Linked DNA regions of Arabidopsis thaliana. The protein of the gene in region 1 purifies or fractionates together with the protein of each later gene. This does not show direct contact. Each region holds a gene or a part of one and is shown on either strand. Other genes may lie near its edges.

Evidence for each region.
Region 2: the proteins of THFS (region 1) and CSY5 fractionate together in Arabidopsis thaliana (co-fractionation; one large-scale study listed by BioGRID). This does not show direct contact.
Region 3: the proteins of THFS (region 1) and ATCS fractionate together in Arabidopsis thaliana (co-fractionation; one large-scale study listed by BioGRID). This does not show direct contact.

Annotation. Positions count from the first base shown.
Region 1 is NC_003070.9:18,699,881-18,705,539, reverse strand, and holds THFS (10-formyltetrahydrofolate synthetase), read right to left. Parts: upstream 3,659-5,659; 5' UTR 3,477-3,658; coding exon 3,321-3,476; intron 2,896-3,320; coding exon 2,746-2,895; intron 2,652-2,745; coding exon 1,476-2,651; intron 1,377-1,475; coding exon 1,230-1,376; intron 1,129-1,229; coding exon 853-1,128; 3' UTR 602-852; downstream 1-601. Other genes in the region: UBC20 (ubiquitin-conjugating enzyme 20), read left to right, coding at 1-86, 181-244, 330-389, 489-535; AT1G50470 (F-box associated ubiquitination effector family protein), read left to right, coding at 5,096-5,168, 5,248-5,540.
Region 2 is NC_003074.8:22,190,783-22,197,044, forward strand, and holds CSY5 (citrate synthase 5), read left to right. Parts: upstream 1-1,947; 5' UTR 1,948-2,105; coding exon 2,106-2,156; intron 2,157-2,239; coding exon 2,240-2,293; intron 2,294-2,409; coding exon 2,410-2,451; intron 2,452-2,581; coding exon 2,582-2,647; intron 2,648-2,737; coding exon 2,738-2,803; intron 2,804-2,892; coding exon 2,893-3,006; intron 3,007-3,098; coding exon 3,099-3,162; intron 3,163-3,298; coding exon 3,299-3,381; intron 3,382-3,477; coding exon 3,478-3,530; intron 3,531-3,613; coding exon 3,614-3,691; intron 3,692-3,805; coding exon 3,806-3,934; intron 3,935-4,099; coding exon 4,100-4,142; intron 4,143-4,240; coding exon 4,241-4,327; intron 4,328-4,459; coding exon 4,460-4,561; intron 4,562-4,742; coding exon 4,743-4,850; intron 4,851-4,925; coding exon 4,926-4,976; intron 4,977-5,060; coding exon 5,061-5,134; intron 5,135-5,217; coding exon 5,218-5,269; intron 5,270-5,371; coding exon 5,372-5,464; 3' UTR 5,465-5,665; and 1 more. Other genes in the region: AT3G60090 (VQ motif-containing protein), read left to right, coding at 76-549.
Region 3 is NC_003071.7:18,314,250-18,321,314, reverse strand, and holds ATCS (Citrate synthase family protein), read right to left. Parts: upstream 5,038-7,065; 5' UTR 4,923-5,037; intron 4,896-4,922; exon of another isoform or gene 4,733-4,895; intron 4,660-4,732; 5' UTR 4,643-4,659; coding exon 4,592-4,642; intron 4,494-4,591; coding exon 4,428-4,493; intron 4,282-4,427; coding exon 4,240-4,281; intron 4,059-4,239; coding exon 3,993-4,058; intron 3,901-3,992; coding exon 3,835-3,900; intron 3,713-3,834; coding exon 3,599-3,712; intron 3,491-3,598; coding exon 3,427-3,490; intron 3,250-3,426; coding exon 3,167-3,249; intron 3,039-3,166; coding exon 2,989-3,038; intron 2,910-2,988; coding exon 2,832-2,909; intron 2,688-2,831; coding exon 2,559-2,687; intron 2,425-2,558; coding exon 2,382-2,424; intron 2,291-2,381; coding exon 2,204-2,290; intron 2,037-2,203; coding exon 1,935-2,036; intron 1,587-1,934; coding exon 1,479-1,586; intron 1,388-1,478; coding exon 1,337-1,387; intron 1,190-1,336; coding exon 1,116-1,189; intron 1,039-1,115; and 5 more. Other genes in the region: AT2G44360 (ecotropic viral integration site protein), read left to right, coding at 29-136, 221-460; AT2G44340 (VQ motif-containing protein), read right to left, coding at 6,470-7,036.

The DNA.
Region 1 (5,659 bases):
TCAAGCCTCCAAAGGTTAAGTTTGAGACATGTTGCTTCCACCCCAATGTTGATGTCTATGGCAATATCTGCTTAGACATTCTTCAGGTAAAAATATACCTTCCTCTTGTGTCTTTGTTCTACACTGAATCAGAGAAGACGTGCCAAAGTTAATCCGTTTACAACATTTTCATATTTGCAGGATAAGTGGTCATCTGCTTACGATGTGAGGACGATACTACTATCGATTCAGAGCCTCCTGGGAGGTATTCTATGGTGCATAACTTTTGATTTCTTGTTAGCCCTTTTTGTTGGTTAATCCAATATCTGATACATGTTTTCGTTGATCAGAACCGAACATCAGTTCACCATTGAACACTCAAGCAGCTCAGCTTTGGAGTAACCAAGAAGGTAAACAGACAGGGGATTTAACAGTCGTTATGAAATCAAACTTCTTTAGAGTACCACAGTTATGAGTTTCTTATGTCTCTTTTGTTTCTCCATACGCAGAGTACAGGAAGATGGTTGAGAAGCTTTACAAGCCTCCAAGTGCATGATTTCTGCAAGCTGTTCTGATTCATAAATCTCCAATGCCTCTGATGATTTCACATAAAACGATTTTTCAGAAGAAAACACTGTCATTCATTTGCTTTATTCTTTGTTTTTGAACATCAGAAGTTCTATCTGTAACGTTACCTTGAGTTCAAATAATGAGTAGTATTTCAGAGATTAATCAAAAGGAAAAGATACTTTATTATTATTCATCTTAAAATGGAAAAACACTCAGTATCAAAGTACAATCGCCAAATTTTTATTGTGGAAGTGAGAAACGACGATGAAGGAAAGCCTTGAAGCTTTGACAGATCTACCAAACTTAAGAAAGGCCACGAACTTTTCCAGTTTCAGTGTCAATATCAATCTCGTAGAAACAAGGTCTTGTAGGAAGTCCAGGCATTGTACTCATTGTACCAACCAGTGGATATATGAAACCAGCTCCAATGCTTCCTCTTACATCCCTAATTGGCAATACAAACCCTGAAGGTGCTCCTTTCTTTGATGCATCATGTGAGAATGAGTACTGTGTTTTCGACATGCATATGGGAAGATTCGAGAAGCCTTGTTGTGTGTACATCTCAATCTGTTTCTCTGCCTGTATTTTACATATCACAGGATAATAGATAAGTTACATAAACAGGTTTCTTTTGACAACAATGCAAAGAAATTGAAGAAGTCGGTCTAGGAATCAATCACCTGGTCTGAATATTCAACACCACTGGCTCCATATGACTTAGCTATTGCCTCAATTTTGTCTTTGATACCAATGTCCAATGGGTAGAGAAACCTGAGGGGCTGTGTAATGTTTTGACAAGCTTTTTCAACCGCGATACCAAGATCCACCTATAACATTTACAAGAACAATTCATCTATCAATAAGATGAGATTGCAAACAAAATTGCATATAATCACATAGTGTTGGTCTCGAATAGAGAAGATTACCGCTCCTTTACCACTATGAGCATGGTGGGAGCAGACCACAGCATCAAAAGCACCGGCATCCATTGAAAATTTCCTAACTGCATTTAGTTCTGCTTCGGTATCTGTTGCGAACATATTCACAGCAACAATTACATTCACACCGTAGGCCTTTGTGTTTGAGATGTGCTTTGCCAGATTCACACAGCCAGCTTCAACTAAGGAAACATTCTCGCTTACATAAGCACGATCAAGAGGTCTCCCGGCAACAACATCAGGCCCACCTCCATGCATTTTCAAAGCCCTAACAGTCGCCACAACAATTGCACACTGAGGCGTTAGCCCACTGTAACGGCACTTAATATTCATGAACTTCTCTGTTCCAATATCAGAACCAAAACCCGCTTCAGTTACCACAAATCCACCAGGTCCCACCAGCTTCAAAGCGATTTTATCAGCAACAATCGATGAATTTCCATGAGCTATATTTGCAAAAGGACCAGCATGCACTAGAACAGGGGTCCCTTCCAGTGTCTGCATGAGTGTCGGGTTAATAGCGTCTTTCATCAGAACAGTCAAGGCTCCTCCAACACCGAGATCATCTGCTGTTATCGGATCCCCTGCCTTGCTGTTACCAATCACCATTTTACCAAGCCTCTCTCTCATATCACCTAGTGAGGTTGTCAAAGCCAAAACAGCCATAATCTCACTAGCAACAGAAATGTCAAAACCAGTTTCTCTAGTCATCCCCTTTTCCTCAGGTCCCTGACCAATAGTAATCTTCCTCAAGAACCGATCATTAACATCCATCACTCTTCTCCAAGTGATAGAAGCAGGATCAATATCAAGCCTCGCAAACTTCTTTATCTCCTCGGGAGTAAGCTCCTCAGGACTGGTCTTGGATATCCCAAGCTTTGTCAATCTCCTGAACATAATGTCACTGAAACTACGCTTCCCTTCTTTATTCGGAGGGCACAGCCTATTAAAAAGAGCCTTGTCGGATTGAGACGTCTCATGGAAAATCCGAGTGTCGATTGCAGCAGCTAAGAGGTTGTTGGAAGCGGTAATCGCGTGAATATCTCCAGTGAGATGAAGATTGAACTCATCCATAGGAATCACCTGACTATACCCACCACCAGCTGCACCTCCTTTGATTCCAAAGGTGGGTCCTTGTGACGGTTGGCGAAGACAAGTAACAACCTAAGCAACAACACTTCACAAATCAATACAAAGAGAGAAGTTTGTCCAAAAGCAAGCATAAGGCATAAGCTAATAAATGAAAGCAAGAGAGAACCTTCTTATCGAGGTAAGCGCCTAAGGCTTGGCAAAGTCCAACAGTGGTAGTACTCTTGCCTTCTCCAAGAGGAGTAGGAGTAATCCCTCCAACAACAACATAGTATCCATCTTCTTGTCCTTGAAGCTCATCAAACGCAGACAACAAAACCTACAAGAACAAATCATCAGTTGATTAGCTCAGAACACTGAACCATTGGTTTAACCAGCTTCTGATGTTTTTGGTGAAACTAAAGTATCAATCTTGCCCACCGACAAAAAAGAAGTAACAGCAAATTAACAAGAAAAGAGAGCTACTTGGTAGGAAAATGGTAATATGAATCCAAAATCAATCGAAAGTTATAAACTTTGAGCTTACGTAACTGCCTACTCAAGCTCCAAAAACTCAATCATTAACAATCTCTTGAAAATTTATTTAAGTTTGATCGAAACCAATTCGAACATAATAGTATCTTATAACCAAAAACGGAGTTCTTTTGGATCCTTGTACCGACAACAACATAGAGACAGAGGAAGATTCAGATGAATAATTTAATTTTCAAAGGGAAATGAACAAAAGGGAAAAATGATGATTACCTTAGCTTTATACTTGCCATAGAGATCGTAGTGAAGAGGGTTGATATTAAGATCTTTGGCAATCTCAGAGATGTGTAAAGGCTCGACGGAATTAGCTATGTCGATATCGGCGGGAACTGGTGAAACAACCTCAAGCTTTCTTGTTGATGAACTCATCGCACTCTCTGTCGAAGTCTGATCTCGCGTTGGAGGATGAGAAGATGGATGAGGGACTCTGATGAATTGATGATGTTTTATAAAACTTTAAAGCACATCCTAATATATTACAGTAAGTAGCAAATACATGTTTAGATCATTATCCATATTAACCAATGAGAACGATGACGTTTTTGTTTTTTTCCCTCTTTTTCACCTCTTAATAAATATATTTTCAACACACATAATTATTGAAGGCCAGAAAATGACGGTTTCGCCCTCGATCTATAAGCGCAGCCACTATAGTTTAGTTTGGCCCACTGTTGTCGTCAATTTAAACTAGTACTATACTAGAAAAGAGAATGGAACTCGGATTTGTTAGGCTACCAATTTTCTTTAATCTTTACATAATACTTCTTAAGACTGTACTATTAAATTTGTTATTTTTAATAAAATACTGTTGTTTTTGAACTATTCCAATACAGTTTCTATAGATTTACAGGAAGCCACATTTCTTTTCATTTAAACCATCATTTTCATTGCACCAATACTATTTTATTATACAACGATGATAGTTTTTGTCAACATGTATAATGTATTGGGGTGAACGGATTCCGAGGTGTCTTGATAAATGGTGCCAATTTTTCCTCTCGACAGATATGGTGTATAGAGTTTTAGACTTAGAATTGAAGAGGCACGAGAGGGTCAACTATTGATGAATCAGTAACCTTGAAGCAATATATATTTTAAGCAATCTATATAAAAGCCCTATGGAATATGTCTAGGACTAAGCCTTCTTTGCGTATCTTACATAGTGAAATCGATGTCATATTAGTCCATTAACATAAAATGGGCTTACAGCTTTAGCATTTTCTGACCCAAAATGAGGCAAAGAAACGACGTCATTTAATATAAAGTTATCCATCCATTTCCTAAAGAAGATAAAATGGATGCAACCAAAGAGAATCAGAATTTTGATTTAGGATGGGTTTGACATTCTTATTGTGTGATAGATAACGTAGTTTAAAAGCAATACAAATGTAGTAGATCAAGTTGAAACAGAAAAGAAAGAAGAACATAAAGAGAAGAAAATCCCAAATAACAATGATATGATGATGCTGCTGAGAATAATAAACAGAAAAGGGCTATTCCAAAGGAGGAGCTCGATGCTATCAATGATGCTGAAACCTTTTTTGCAGAAATCTTTTTCCGGGAAAGTGTGTCAAACACAAATTTAGGGAAAGTGGTAGGTTTAGTGAAAAGTGATATTGAGAAGAAGAAGAGAAGCAGCATGCAAGAGACAAGTTTAATGAAAGTGATAGATACCAAAACTTGTATGAGTTTGGTTGTATGAATACTTGTATTTGTATTGAAAGATATTGTCTTGCAAAAATTTGATTTTTTTTTTCTTGAGAACCTACCATTGGAGGACATTTTTGTTAAGATAGTTTCTTTGAACCTACCATTGTGGTTTGGGACCCATTCTAGAAGAAAACCATATGGATCCAACCGATAAATCGTCATGACAAGATATTCGAGGTCTATGCTCTCGGTTACAATAACAAGGACTTGTGCCATAACTACAAAATCTTGAGGTTTATAGATATATGCTTGGAAGTCTATGATTTTAGCTCTAATTTATGGAGGAGTTTCTTGATGTCGTCTCTCCCGAAGACGACTTAGTATCCACTGGCAAGTCGTTGAAGGGAAATGGTTACTCATTGCTCAGTTTTGTTTTTTTCAACAGAGAGGTTTCAACTACTATGTGTGCCCTTTCATCAAGAAGCTGCAGAAGTAAATGATATTAAGGCTCTCTCAGTTGTTAGAGAAGAACATCTCTCCTTATTATATCAGAGTGCAAAGAAACTAAAGATGGATATAAGGGTGACCAATGAGATTGAGACAGTGGATTTAAAACCCCATGGTTGTTTGTTTTCGAGTTCCCTAAGTTTCCACATTGACGAAGAGAAGAAAGTTGCTGTTTGCGGTGAGAAAGTCATATACAACAAGATATACATTGTTGGAGAAGATAAATACACAAGGTATATCGATCTTCTGGTTTCGGTAGCTTTGATGGTCGGTTAAGTGTGTTTACGTATGTTCAAAGATTGATTTAAATCCAACAATATGTAATATCCTGTTGGACATTGATCATTTTGTATATATTATCATCTTAAATGTTTTATTCACATCTTCTGGATCTA
Region 2 (6,262 bases), on another chromosome or scaffold:
AACAATACAAGAAACCTGAAATCCAAAAAAGAAAAACCCAAAATCTTCGCTTCTTCATCTTCTTTTTACGTTTATATGGTGAGAAATTCTATGAAGGCTGAGTACGATATAGATCATCTTCCTCATCAAACCTTTTATGGTGATTATTCAAAAACTTTGGTTCCCATGAACAAGAACTCCCAAATAATAACCAAGATCAAGCCTAAGATCCGTATCATCCATATATTTGCTCCCGAGATCATCAACACCGATGTCAAGAACTTCCGCACACTCGTCCAAAGTCTAACCGGGAAACCGGAGATCACCAAAACCGGTTCTAAGAAAAAGATAACCAACACAAATTTTCCTGCGCCACCGGGTTTGCCTCAAGATTCCGGCCAAGAACATACGGCTGAACTGGACAACAGAATAATAGGGAGCCACGTGGTGAAGGAAGAATGGGGATCAAGTTCAAACACAAATACTTACTTTGATTTTGACGGTTTGATCGATCTTGATGAAGACGACAACATATTCTCAAGTCGATGGTTTGATCTTCAACAACAATAATTAGTTTGGTCACACCTTACCCTAATATGTAGGGTTTCTACTAATCGTAAGTCCTGTTGGTTTTGATGATGATTTGATCATTTATTCGATATGGAGCATAACAAGACATGGGTCAAGACAAGACCAAGGTTGAGACGATGATCATCTATATAGGTAGGAACATACATAACTTGTATATATGTACAAATGTTTGGATTTTTTGGGCTTGGGTGCCCTTTGATTTAATTTGTTAGACTGACTTAATTTACCAAGAAAGAGTGTAGTGATGAGTTTGTAGACTGATTTTGCCAAGAAAAAGTAAGTTTGTGTTTTGATCTCCGATCATGTGAAAACTCTACTTAAAAATGGTGTAACGTTGTACTCACGCGTGCGTGTGCAAGTTTTATATATAGAAAAGCGAGAATGATATTGTGATTGAATTTTTTAGATTGTTCATTTTTTTTCGTCAAATTATTTTGTTTGTTAATTCATATATAAGTCATGTTACTTACAACAAATTGTTTGATAAAACAAAAATGAATTCCATTAAACTGAATTAACGAAATACTATAATGATAAATGATTCTTACATGACTCTAAAAGAGTTTCGATTTGAATATATAAATGAATAAAGTTCTGTTTTATTGGCGATGTTCTTGATATATACCTTCAAAACTTTATGGCTAAATTACATTTTAACTTCTCAAAACGTTAGATTATGAAAGGTGGACTCACATTTCATAAACATTAAAATGATATGGTAATATGATTATAATGAGTTGTAATGGATATATGTCATATTTTTCCAATCTCATTCATTGAAATATCAGTTTATTTTTTGGATGACATAACGATCAATAGTGTCATATAATATGATATCCAATGTTTTAATATTAACTAGCTATAGCTATATCCATCATTGTTAATAGTTGTGTTACATCATTAAATAGTATTTCAAAAGAATATAAAAATTTCTGATAACTAATGGAGAATGAAGAATATCAAACCGCCCATTCGACCAAGAAATTATAATAACGAAGTTTATAACTTTTTTTTTCAATTGTGAAATGTCATTTTTACTTTATTTATTTCCAACAAAATAAAATTATGTTTTATCTAAACCCTTGGACTTTACCAAGAAGCTACTTTTTTATTTAGCAACAGCAAAAGCTACATACCATTTGTTCTTTATTTATTAATGACCGTTTTTTTAGGCATTAGAATCGTTACGGCTGCTTCGAATCTTGCGTCTCACGGACCGACGGAACTAACCAATCTCAACCGAACCCGAACATAACCTGTTCGTTTGGTTTTCTAAATGGTAATCAATTGGTTCATTATACCGGTTTGGTAAGAAGAATCCGTGTGTTTGGTTTACATATGTTGTAATTTGACGCTTGTTCATCACGTTGCAGATATATCTCAACATCTCTCAATTTTTCTCTCTACGTTGAAGAAACTTTCGAATTTCCCGTTAGTTCTTCTCCACGCTTTCTCTTTCCCTTTATCTCTTATCTGGTTAAGCCAATCTTGATTGTTTGGATTCGTAACCGATCAGTGTTGTGAGGTTTGAAAGAATGGTGTTTTTTCGCAGCGTATCAGCCATTTCAAGACTACGGTCTCGAGCAGTGAGTAGATTTAGCTTTCATCCTTTTTGTGTTTTGTTTGATGTGATACAATTTGATGATCAGATCTAATATAAGAAGCACAGGTGCAACAATCCTCACTTAGTAACTCCGTCAGATGGCTCCACTCTTCTGAATTGGTACTTTCTTAGGTTTTCATGTTCTCGTGATCATGCGGTTCAGTTTGAGAACCAAAAATTTGGAATTTTACCTTCTAGGTTTTGTGTTGATGTTGCTTAAAATGATGGTAATGCAGGACTTGAAGTCGCAGATGCAAGAGATCATTCCAGAACAACAGGTTTAGTTTCTACTTCGTTGTGATTGAGATTGTTTCTAATTTTAGGGCAGATTTCATGTAGAGATCAAGCTCTTCTCTCTGTTTTAGTTGATGTCATTTCTCATACACAAACACAACTTTCAACTTTCAGGACCGTTTGAAGAAACTGAAATCAGAACAAGGAAAGGTTCCAGTGGGGAACATCACCGTTGATATGGTACGGATTCTAATGATATTTGTGATTACACAAAGGCTTTATCTTTTAAACATACTCGTATATATAGTTTTACATGTGGTATTTGTGAAGGTACTTGGTGGAATGAGAGGGATGACTGGATTACTCTGGGAAACCTCATTGCTTGATGCAGATGAGGTATGGTTATAATTTTGATCACATAGATAATTTTCAGGTCAGATCTTGAATTAGAATTATATAACATATGATATTATCTTTTGTATCAGGGAATACGGTTTAGAGGCATGTCGATTCCTGAATGTCAGAAAATATTACCTTCAGCTGAGTCTGGAGAAGAGCCCTTGCCTGAGAGTCTTCTGTGGCTTCTATTAACTGGAAAGGTGTGATAATCTTAAAACATTTTATACATACAATAAGTTTCAACTTTATATATGAATGATCTAAAGTATAGTTTTCCCTCCTTTCGGTATAGGTGCCAACTAAAGAGCAAGCTAATGCTTTGTCAACAGAGTTGGCTCATCGTGCGGCTGTGCCAGGTTTGTAGTTCACCTCTAGGCTCTGTTTGTTTATGACCTCAGTTTCATGACTCATCAAAACTTAGCAAAATACAAGCTGATGATAATTATAAACTGGATATTATGATGTTGCAAATATAACAACTCTCCATTGCAGATTATATATACAAAGCTATAGATGCTTTGCCTTCAACAGCTCATCCAATGACTCAATTTGCTAGTGGTGTTATGGCCCTTCAGGTGGATTGCTCTGTTATGTACTATTTTTTTTTTCTATGCATTCTCTTAGAATTTGTTTATTTTCAGGAGCATCTTATCTTGTTGATTGTTATTCAGGTTCAAAGTGAGTTTCAAAAGGCGTATGAGCAGGGTGATATTTCTAAGTCAAAGTATAAACTTTCAATAGTTCTATACTTTGTTTCTTGATTGGCTTATAGTAGTAGGCATCATAGAAACTGAGGTTTCTTGTCAGGTACTGGGAACCAACCTTCGAAGATGCCCTAAACTTGATTGCTCGTGTTCCTGTTGTAGCTTCATACGTTTATCGGAGGTTAAATTTTAGGATCTTTTCCAATGCTTTTAGCTTCCTGGACTAGTTAATTTTCTTAGATTTTCCTTTCTTCAGAGTGTTATTTTTCAATGTCCATTCTAATTCACATTGCAGGATGTACAAGGATGGTAGCATCATTCCATTAGATGATTCTTTGGATTATGGTGCAAATTTTTCACACATGCTGGGATTTGATAGTCCTCAGATGAAAGAGCTCATGAGGCTTTATGTCACTATCCACAGGTTAGTCCTGGTTCTCTTCGTTTCAACATGTCTCATTAATTAGAATACATAAGCTAAAGTTTTCTTGTATATAATGATGATCTTCCTTTATTTTACCAACTCTTACCAAATTTCTATAGCATGATCAAGGTTTTTTTTTCCCTTGTCTACTGGTTTCTGTTTTAGTGATCATGAAGGTGGAAATGTTAGTGCTCACGCTGGTCACCTGGTATGTATTTGCCACATGATCTTGATGCATGATAATGTTTTGAACTTATAGACATTTCTGATGGTTCTGTTTTTGGCTAATGATGTTTCTTCACTTAGGTTGGGAGTGCACTTTCAGATCCATATCTTTCATTTGCTGCTGCATTGAATGGTTTAGCTGGGCCACTCCATGGTTTGGCTAATCAGGTATTTATATCCTTAATGAGTCTTATATTGTTCGAATCTACAAGTGTATATAACTTGAACTCTAAGATTGACTCTTAATTATAAGCTTAAACTTGGAATCTTACTCTGTTTTTTTTCGTTGTCTTGTTGTAGGAAGTTTTGCTGTGGATCAAATTAGTTGTTGAGGAATGTGGAGAAAGTATATCAAAGGAACAGCTAAAAGATTATGTCTGGAAAACGTTAAACAGTGGCAAGGTTGACAAAATTATGCTCTGCTTTGCCTTTTGAAACTATCCATATGTATTGCATGCTAATCATGACAGGCCATAACTTGAATTATTGTATAAATAATGAATAAAAGCTTCGGATTATGTTTTGATTATGGGGTTTGCCTGTGAATGTTGTCAGGAAACTTAAATAAACATTTGTCTTGCAGGTTGTTCCAGGATATGGCCATGGTGTTTTGCGTAAAACGGATCCAAGATATATATGCCAAAGAGAGTTTGCCTTGAAGCATCTACCTGATGATCCTCTTTTTCAGCTGGTAACTTTTTTTCCCCCTCAAATCTTTGGTCATGCTTTAAAATTTTACTGGCTCACAAATTATGCAAGTCTATAGGTCTCAAAACTTTATGAAGTGGTGCCTCCTATTCTAACCGAGCTGGGAAAGGTACTACTTATACTCATTCATTTCATGTGCTACCAGATTTTCTGATTTTCTCTGGTTTTATGAATCTTGAAATTGCTGTATCAGGTCAAGAACCCGTGGCCTAACGTTGATGCTCATAGCGGAGTGCTTCTGAACTACTATGGTCTAACCGAAGCAAGGTAGGAACTACTTGTGTATCGAGGCTTTGACCTTGTTTTGCTGAATCTTGGTTATTATAGAGTGACATTCCTTTCAAATATAGATACTACACGGTGCTTTTTGGCGTCTCAAGAAGTCTTGGAATCTGCTCGCAGGTACATACATACATTCATGCCATCGACAATTCGATTTTAGTACGTATCGCCATATCCTTCACAATAAAGTCAGACTAATCTTTTATTCCTTTTCTGTTTCAGCTGATATGGGACAGGGCACTTGGACTGCCACTTGAGAGACCAAAGAGTGTAAACATGGACTGGCTCGATAACTTCACGCGCTTGAACCGCTAAGTTAATCCCTGACTGATGTTGGTCAAGGTTCTCTCTTTTATCACTTCAGCCTTCTCTTCCATTTGATTGGGTAGCTTTTAGAGATAAAAAAAAAACGATTTTTCGTCGAAATTTTGTTCTACAGAGTTTTCATTTTGGTTCTTCTGCAAAAACAATAAAGTCAAACAAGTAAAGAAACAGTCTTTCTCAGATTGAGACACCATATTATTGTTCCTCAACTTTGATAGACAAATGATGACCATTGATATGTATTGATTAGTCTTTGGTGAATTATCGCATAATAAACAATACTCATGCAACCAGTCCCGCTCAAACAGAGTGTTTGAAGTGAACAGAAGCAGAGTCAAGAAATTCAAAGCCTCGGGATCAAACAGAAGCTTCCTCCTATCTTAAGAAGCTCCCTACGAAGCTTTATGATGATTCTACAAAACACATTTGCTATCTTCAGTGAACAGTAAGATGCAACGTGTTCTCTTCTAAACCTTCAGATATTTGGCTAAGTATAAGACTCTTCGTAATCACAAAAAGCCAGAAATGCGAAATTGATTTTGAGTCTTCTTCCTCACAAGTTTTCTCTAACTTTCAGAGGAGTCGCTGGATCCTGTTACCGAGAATTATTAGAAACCGAGAGCAGAGGTTTCTAGCTAGGACAGGAAATATATTATTAGAACATATCCTAGTCTTCCTTGTCATGGCCAGTCCAGTGGTGCAAGAGAAACATACAATTCCAACTCAAGTATGTGATGGACTTGACTTGCTTAAGCCGTACGGCATCCTCGGAAAACCAAAACCATGTCG
Region 3 (7,065 bases), on another chromosome or scaffold:
TTGCCTACTGATGATTTTTGTTTCTTAGGTAGAATCATTGACAAATACAGAAGAGGTTGAGCTACGTTCTAAGATTGAAGCTCTTGGTTTAGAAGTCACTAAAGTGCCATCAAAGTCTGCTCAACACCTCAATGAGGTCTGTATCCTGTGTTCACTCATATATCTGGTACACATTGTAATGTAAATCTGAGGCTTTGTGTGTGATTGTTTGTGTTTTCAGGTGGAGATAGCTAAGGAATTGGACAAGTTATCAGCAAAGTTAGATGATGTGGATGAGATGATATCATCAGCTATAGCTTCTGATCCACAGGTTCAGACGCTTCTTAGCGGCACAGCTGATGTTTGGATGCCGGTTATCACTGCCGGCGCCGAAGAGAGACTCAACTTCACAGCCTCTCTTGCTGATGATGATGACCTTTCTAACAAGGAGACTACTACCGACAATACCAGCAGCTCTTAATCCCATTTTCTTTTTGATAAACTCATGTCGAAGTTTTCTATTTTGCAGTCTTGTTTCTTTTATGTATATCAAAACCAAGATAAGCTTTAATTCATGAGTGATATTGATGTTTGATTTTTACGCAAACTGAATACAACTGTTTATTTATTATCACGAGTTTCCCGGAAATGCAAATTTGCACCAAGCATGTGTTTCTCAGGAACAATTTCTACATGAACAAATGTTTCTTCTGTCAATAGAAGGTAAAAACAAAAAAAGCTATCCAGTGTGGAAGAGAATGACTTTTGTTGAAACACGAGAGAGTGCGACAACTCAGGACTCGGTGGTGACTTAAGCAGATGAAGCTTTCTTACAATGGGCTTCAAGCCAGTCCATGGTAACACTCTTTGGCCTCTCAAGTGCAAGTCCAAGAGCTCGGTCCCATATAAGCTGTGAATTAAACACAAATGAGAATGGAGAGCATATGAGTTCTGTTTTAAATGTTATGTAGTAACAAAGGCGTAATGTGTAAATATATATATGTTACCTGAGAGCAGATGCCAAGACTCCTTGAAACACCAAAGAGCACGGTGTAGTACCTATAAAACGCACAGATATTATATTTGAGTGCTATCCTAAGGCTCAATGATACTTGAAGGAGGTGTCTACTTCTTACCTTGCTTCGGTTAGACCATAGTGGTTCAGCAAGACCCCACTGTGAGCATCAACATTTGGCCACGGGTTCTTCACCTGTAACAAGCCATCATCGGATTCGCAAGTAAATAAAAAATTGATTCGCAAGAGATTCATAAGCCCCTAGCATGTAGGTAAGGTGTTGTGGAGTTGTTGGTGGAATATTGAAGGATCACCATGGTAAACGAAGGATAGAGATACTACCTTTCCAAGCTCAGTGAGAACAGGAGGCACAACTTCATAAAGCTTTGACACCTACAGAGTTGGAAGGATTTTGTTAGCTACTGAACATTGATAGAATTTTGAGAACCGAACAGAAAAGAGAAAAGAGAAAGAAAAAAAGTACCAGCTGGAAAAGAGGGTCGTCAGGTAGATGCTTCAAGGCAAATTCTCTTTGGCATACATATCTTGGATCAGTATTGCGCAGAACACCGTGACCATATCCCGGAATAACCTAGAGACAAAACAAGACTCGTCAATAGATCATCATTAGACTATCCTTGTAACATTACATCCACAAGGTAAACTAGGATAGGGAAAAACAGGATCCAAAGCTCTTATGGCAGTATTACTTACTAGGAGCAGTTAGAGCAACTGACCAAACTATGAGGTCGTAAATAAGAGGACCCATAACAGTATCACACAATAAATTGAAATATTAGCCTATTATGATGACTAGTAGACAAGATGTTAATTCATTTTCGCATGCTCCATCAGTCTTGTTGGCTGGCTTCAAAAGTGGGATTCAGGTACAAGACCAGAAAGTAAAGAATGTCAAGGCAGAGGAATTTCCTGTTTTTACCTTGCCACTGTTTAATGTTTTCCAAACATATTCTTTCAACTGTTCTTTTGATATATCTTCTCCACATTCCTCTACGACTGATTTGATCCAAAGCAAAACTTCCTGTTGAAACAATAATAAAAAAAGACTAAGAATTTGTTTTCTCCAATTTATGGTTGTATCATCAAACTATCACAACCTACCTAGATAAAATACAAAAAGCCACTTACGAAGCTCTATTGTAGATTGAAGATTTAAGACTTATTCAAGATATAGACAAGGGAGGATACCTGATTAGCCAAACCATGGAGTGGCCCAGCTAAACCATTTAATGCAGCTGCAAATGACAGATATGGGTCTGAAAGTGCACTACCAACCTACATGAACAAGAATTTTTAGCAAAAGAACCATTAGAAACTTCAGGTAGGTCAATCCTTTAAAATTGACACATGGAGAGTATATACATACCAGGTGACCAGTGTGAGCACTAACATTTCCACCTTCATGATCACTAGAGCAAAAAATAGTAGAAAAGCAAAATGTTATACAAAGGTCTATTTAAAGTCTTAAAAAGAACAAACAAATTTACAAGATAATTAAGCTTATTTAAGGAGACATGCATGGGTGACGAAAATTAATACAGACCTGTGGATGGTGATGTAAAGCCTCATGAGCTCTTTCACCTTTTCATCATCAAATCCCAACATGTGGGAAAAATTTGCACCATAATCCAAAGATTTATCTGAGGGAATGGAATCACCATTCTTATACATCCTGCAATGATGCATGGAAAAGGTCAACAGTCAATACAAAGCAAAAACAAGAGATGGCAAATTTTCCAATAAAAAAAAAATCATTGCCGAAAATCCAGAAGCTACAAGAAACATGAAAAAGAGTACAAAAAGAGTCTTCACTAACCTTCGATAAACATATGCAGCTACAACAGGAACACGAGCAATCAGGTTGAGGCAATCCTCATATGTTGGCTCCCAGAACCTGGAAGAAAAAATCTTTGTTATGATGCCAGCTAATATGAAACGCTATCATGAACTAAATCAGAACCCCAAAAGCATACTTTGACTTATGAATTCCATTCTCATATGCCTTTTGAAACTCACTTTGCACCTGGATATTAGGTAAAGAAAATTATCATTCTGCTGAAAATTGTTTACTTATAGCCAAAAAAAACAATAAGTTTCCAACGCTTATCACAAGAAGAACAGAAACAACAATACGAGTTTAGAGAACCACACCTGGAGGGCCATAACACCGCTAGCAAATTGAGTCATTGGATGAGCTGTGGAAGGCAGAGCATCGATGGCATTGTACACATAATCTGTATAAAAATTGGATACAAGTTAAGAATGAATGAAAGTATAACACAAAACCCACAAATTTATTTCATTTCTGTTAAGCAATTTCTTGTAAGCATTGATGTCAAACAAGTTTGAATGAGCCAATAAACAGACTCCTTTATTTGCAACAGCCAGAGCGAAAAAGGTAATATCCAAACCTGGCACAGCAGCACGGTTCGCCAAGTCTTTCGACAGTGCTTCAACTTGCTCTTTGCTAGGTACCTATACGAAAAAGGGTAAAAAAGGATATCATAAGATAATCTATTGAGGAAAACTAATCGACTGGACATATCCAGAACCAACTTATAATAATGTACAGAAGAGCCACACCTTTCCAGTTAAGAGAAGCCACAAAAGACCCTCCGGTAATGGTTCAGCTCCAGACTGGGCAGTAGGTAATACTTTCTGGCACTCAGGAATCGACAATCCCCTAAAGCGAATACCCTGAAATAATGATAAGATAATTGCATCAACAGCCTTAGAACAGGAAGGAGGAGCATTTGATATATTCTATATCTAGGATCTAACCAAGCTATTGTAACTATATACAGAGAGTTATACAGTACCTCTTCCGGGTCAAGCAATGAGGTTTCCCAAAGCAATCCAGTCATCCCTCTCATTCCACCAATAACCTTTATTTCAAAGGGGATTATGATGAGTTATGCAATGGAAGGTGAAAATCATATAAACAAACCAAAAACGTGAAAATCATGATTGTTTCTACCATATCAACAGTGATGTTTCCCAGTTGGACCTTCCCATGTTCTGACTTCAGTTTCTTCAGACGGTCCTGAAATTGGAAAATTCTTGTGAGAAAAGAGGAAACTAGAAAAGCAAAGAGATTCACTACAACTAGCCTGCCTTCTTAACTTAACAATCTCAGCTAACATAACAAATAATACACACATTCAATGAAAAAAAAAAGTCAACAACACAAATTTTCATTTAAAGCAAACAGAGTCTAATCTAACCTGCTGTTCCGGAATTAACTCTTGCAGCTGCGACTTCAGGTCCTGCATTGCCACCATTTAAACAAAATGAACAAAGACCCCACAAGCAGCAGATCCCAAACCAATATTAAACTTACATATGATCATGATCATGAAAACTACATGATCACGATCACACACGAAAGTACGAAGCAACGGAGATGATTTACCAGGTCGGTAGAGCTCTGCATCTGAATCCATCTGACAGAATTGCTGAGTGAAGATTGTTGGCCCTGCTTACATAGATTCGATCACCAATCAATCGATTAGCATGAACCAGCGAGATCAAACGAGAACAAACACAAAACTGGAAACAAAATTTTCAAATACTTACGACGCGAGACCTCAGCCTAGTAAAGGCCGATACGCTGCGGAAAAACACCATTCTCCAAAACTCAAAACCTGTGACAGACAGTATCCACCCAATTCTCAAAACAAATCGATCCGTGAAAAAACTCAAGCAATCAACACTCACCAAAATCAGAAACAAACAAAAAAAGTTTTATCGCCGAATCAAATAATTCAACAAAACTCAGAGATTCGATCAGCGGAATTCACCGGCGAATTCAGATTCCAGAAGAAGAGAAAAACAGGACTAGATTCTCCGAAAATTATGGAAGACCAAAAGGAAATGAGAAACACTATGAAGAAGCGAAGAAACATACCAGAGATTCGAGAGCTTCACGGAGATCGAGAAAAAAAAAAGCGATTGTTGAAAAAAATACTAAAAGCTGCGTCTGCGTGTGATGTACAAAATCAATCGGCGAAAGGTGAGCAAATGACATTTGTATATAGCTGGAGCAGGTTTATTACTAAATTCCAATTTTGACCTTCGAGTACTTTGAGAAGGCAAACCAAACTAAACCGGTATTGGAGAAAATAACCTTTAGGCGTATTATTCCGGTTTTATGAATCTCAAAAACAATTTCGGTGTACCGGTGTGGTTATTTTCGGCAATTGTTGATAATCATCATTTATTTCCTTTGCCTTATTTACGGTATTGTTGATAATCATCATTTATTTTTGGTTTAAGAAATCATACTAATATTTATGTGAGCTTTTCAAGCAGCCGGAACGTTTCCAAATCTAGAAAAGTCAGGTTTGAAATTGTCCTTTACAATGTTTTCATCCAATATTATGCAACCAAAACCGATTTAGACTAAAACAAATAATCCCAATGCCTGAAAAAGTAGACTAATTAATAAGTATAACATGTGCAGAACCTTACAAAATAAGATAAAATAAATGTTGACGTTCGAGAACTTTGAGAAGGTAAACCAAACTAAACCAAAACACAGAAGCAAGGGAGTAAACCGTAATCATATACCTTTTCGTTCTTTTGGAAACCAGACCGAATAATTTGGCTTTATATGAAAAGGTCAACGGACACTAAAATCTCAAAACAATTTTGGTGTACCGTTACGGCTATATTCGGTTCGGATCAATTTTCTTTGCATTTTGTTGATAGGTTATATCATTTTGTTTTACTTTATTTTGATAAAAGGGTTAATATTACTCACTGTTGAAAATGATATATTATACACGTACATCAAATATGAAAACACGTTATTTATTTTAGTTGAAGTACTACATGTATAATAAATATCATTTTCAACATTTGTAACAAAAGATTAGTAAACAATAATAATAAAAAAAATAATTTAGCTTGAGCCAGAATATTCTTGTTAACTTACAGTTTAATTTAATTAGTGTAACTGTACTTTAACCGAATAACCGTTATGTAAGTATCGATATTCAATATACACAATCAATCAGAGTATCTATATCGAAAACAAGTCGATCCTTGTTCTAATTCCATACAAACTTTTTCCCCAAAATTAAAGTACAGCAATCATCACATTTATCTGCACACCAAAGAATTAATACACATCCAATAATAGCACATCAATGAAGTTACATAATAAAACTAGGGCTTTTTTGACCGACCACATCTTAATTAGATACAGCCACTTCTCCTAGAAGGGCTGCACGTAGATTAAACTCTCTTCATCACAACTCTCAACCTTGGCAAAGTCAGTCCCGCCAAAAGTTTATGTCTCTCATCATACCCATTTGTTATATCTATATACAACTTCTATGCCTTTTTTCTCCCACAAAATATGACCTTATCGTTGCGATTAGATCTCATCTCACCAAATGCGATTTGCAGAATCAATAAGATTGAAAACCCTAGAAATTAATCTGTTATTAATTAAGACGAATTATGAGCCTTTGTATCGAAGTTGGTGTTGTTGTTGTTGTTGTTGTTGTTGTTGTTGTTGTTGTTGTTGTTGTTGTTGAAGATGAAACCTTCGACTTGTGAAGAAGAAGAGGATCTCATGGGAAACGAAGAGAAGTAATCTTCTCCGACATCTTGAATTAAACCTTCTAGATCAAAGTACGTGTTTGTGTTCGAAGTACTCTGATCACCTGATCCCCACTCTTCTTTCACCTGGTGGTTTCCTCCGTTTGCTAGTAAACCGGTGAAACCCGAAAGCCTGTTGACCGGCTGATGATCATCGCAAACCGGTTCTTGGGGAGTCGTAATTCTTGATTTGGCTCTCTTTTTACCGGTTTTGGCTTCTCCCGGTGCCGGTTTCCCGGTTAGACTCTGGACGAGTGAACGAAAGTTCTTGACGTCGGTCTTGATGACCTCCGGTGCAAATATATGGATTATGCGAATCTTGGGTTTGATCTTGGATATTACTTGTGAATTCCTGTTCATGGAAACCCTAGAACTCGAACCTTCATGAAAACTTTGATATTGAGTAATCTCCATTGAAGAAACTATAAACGATTGAGAAAAGA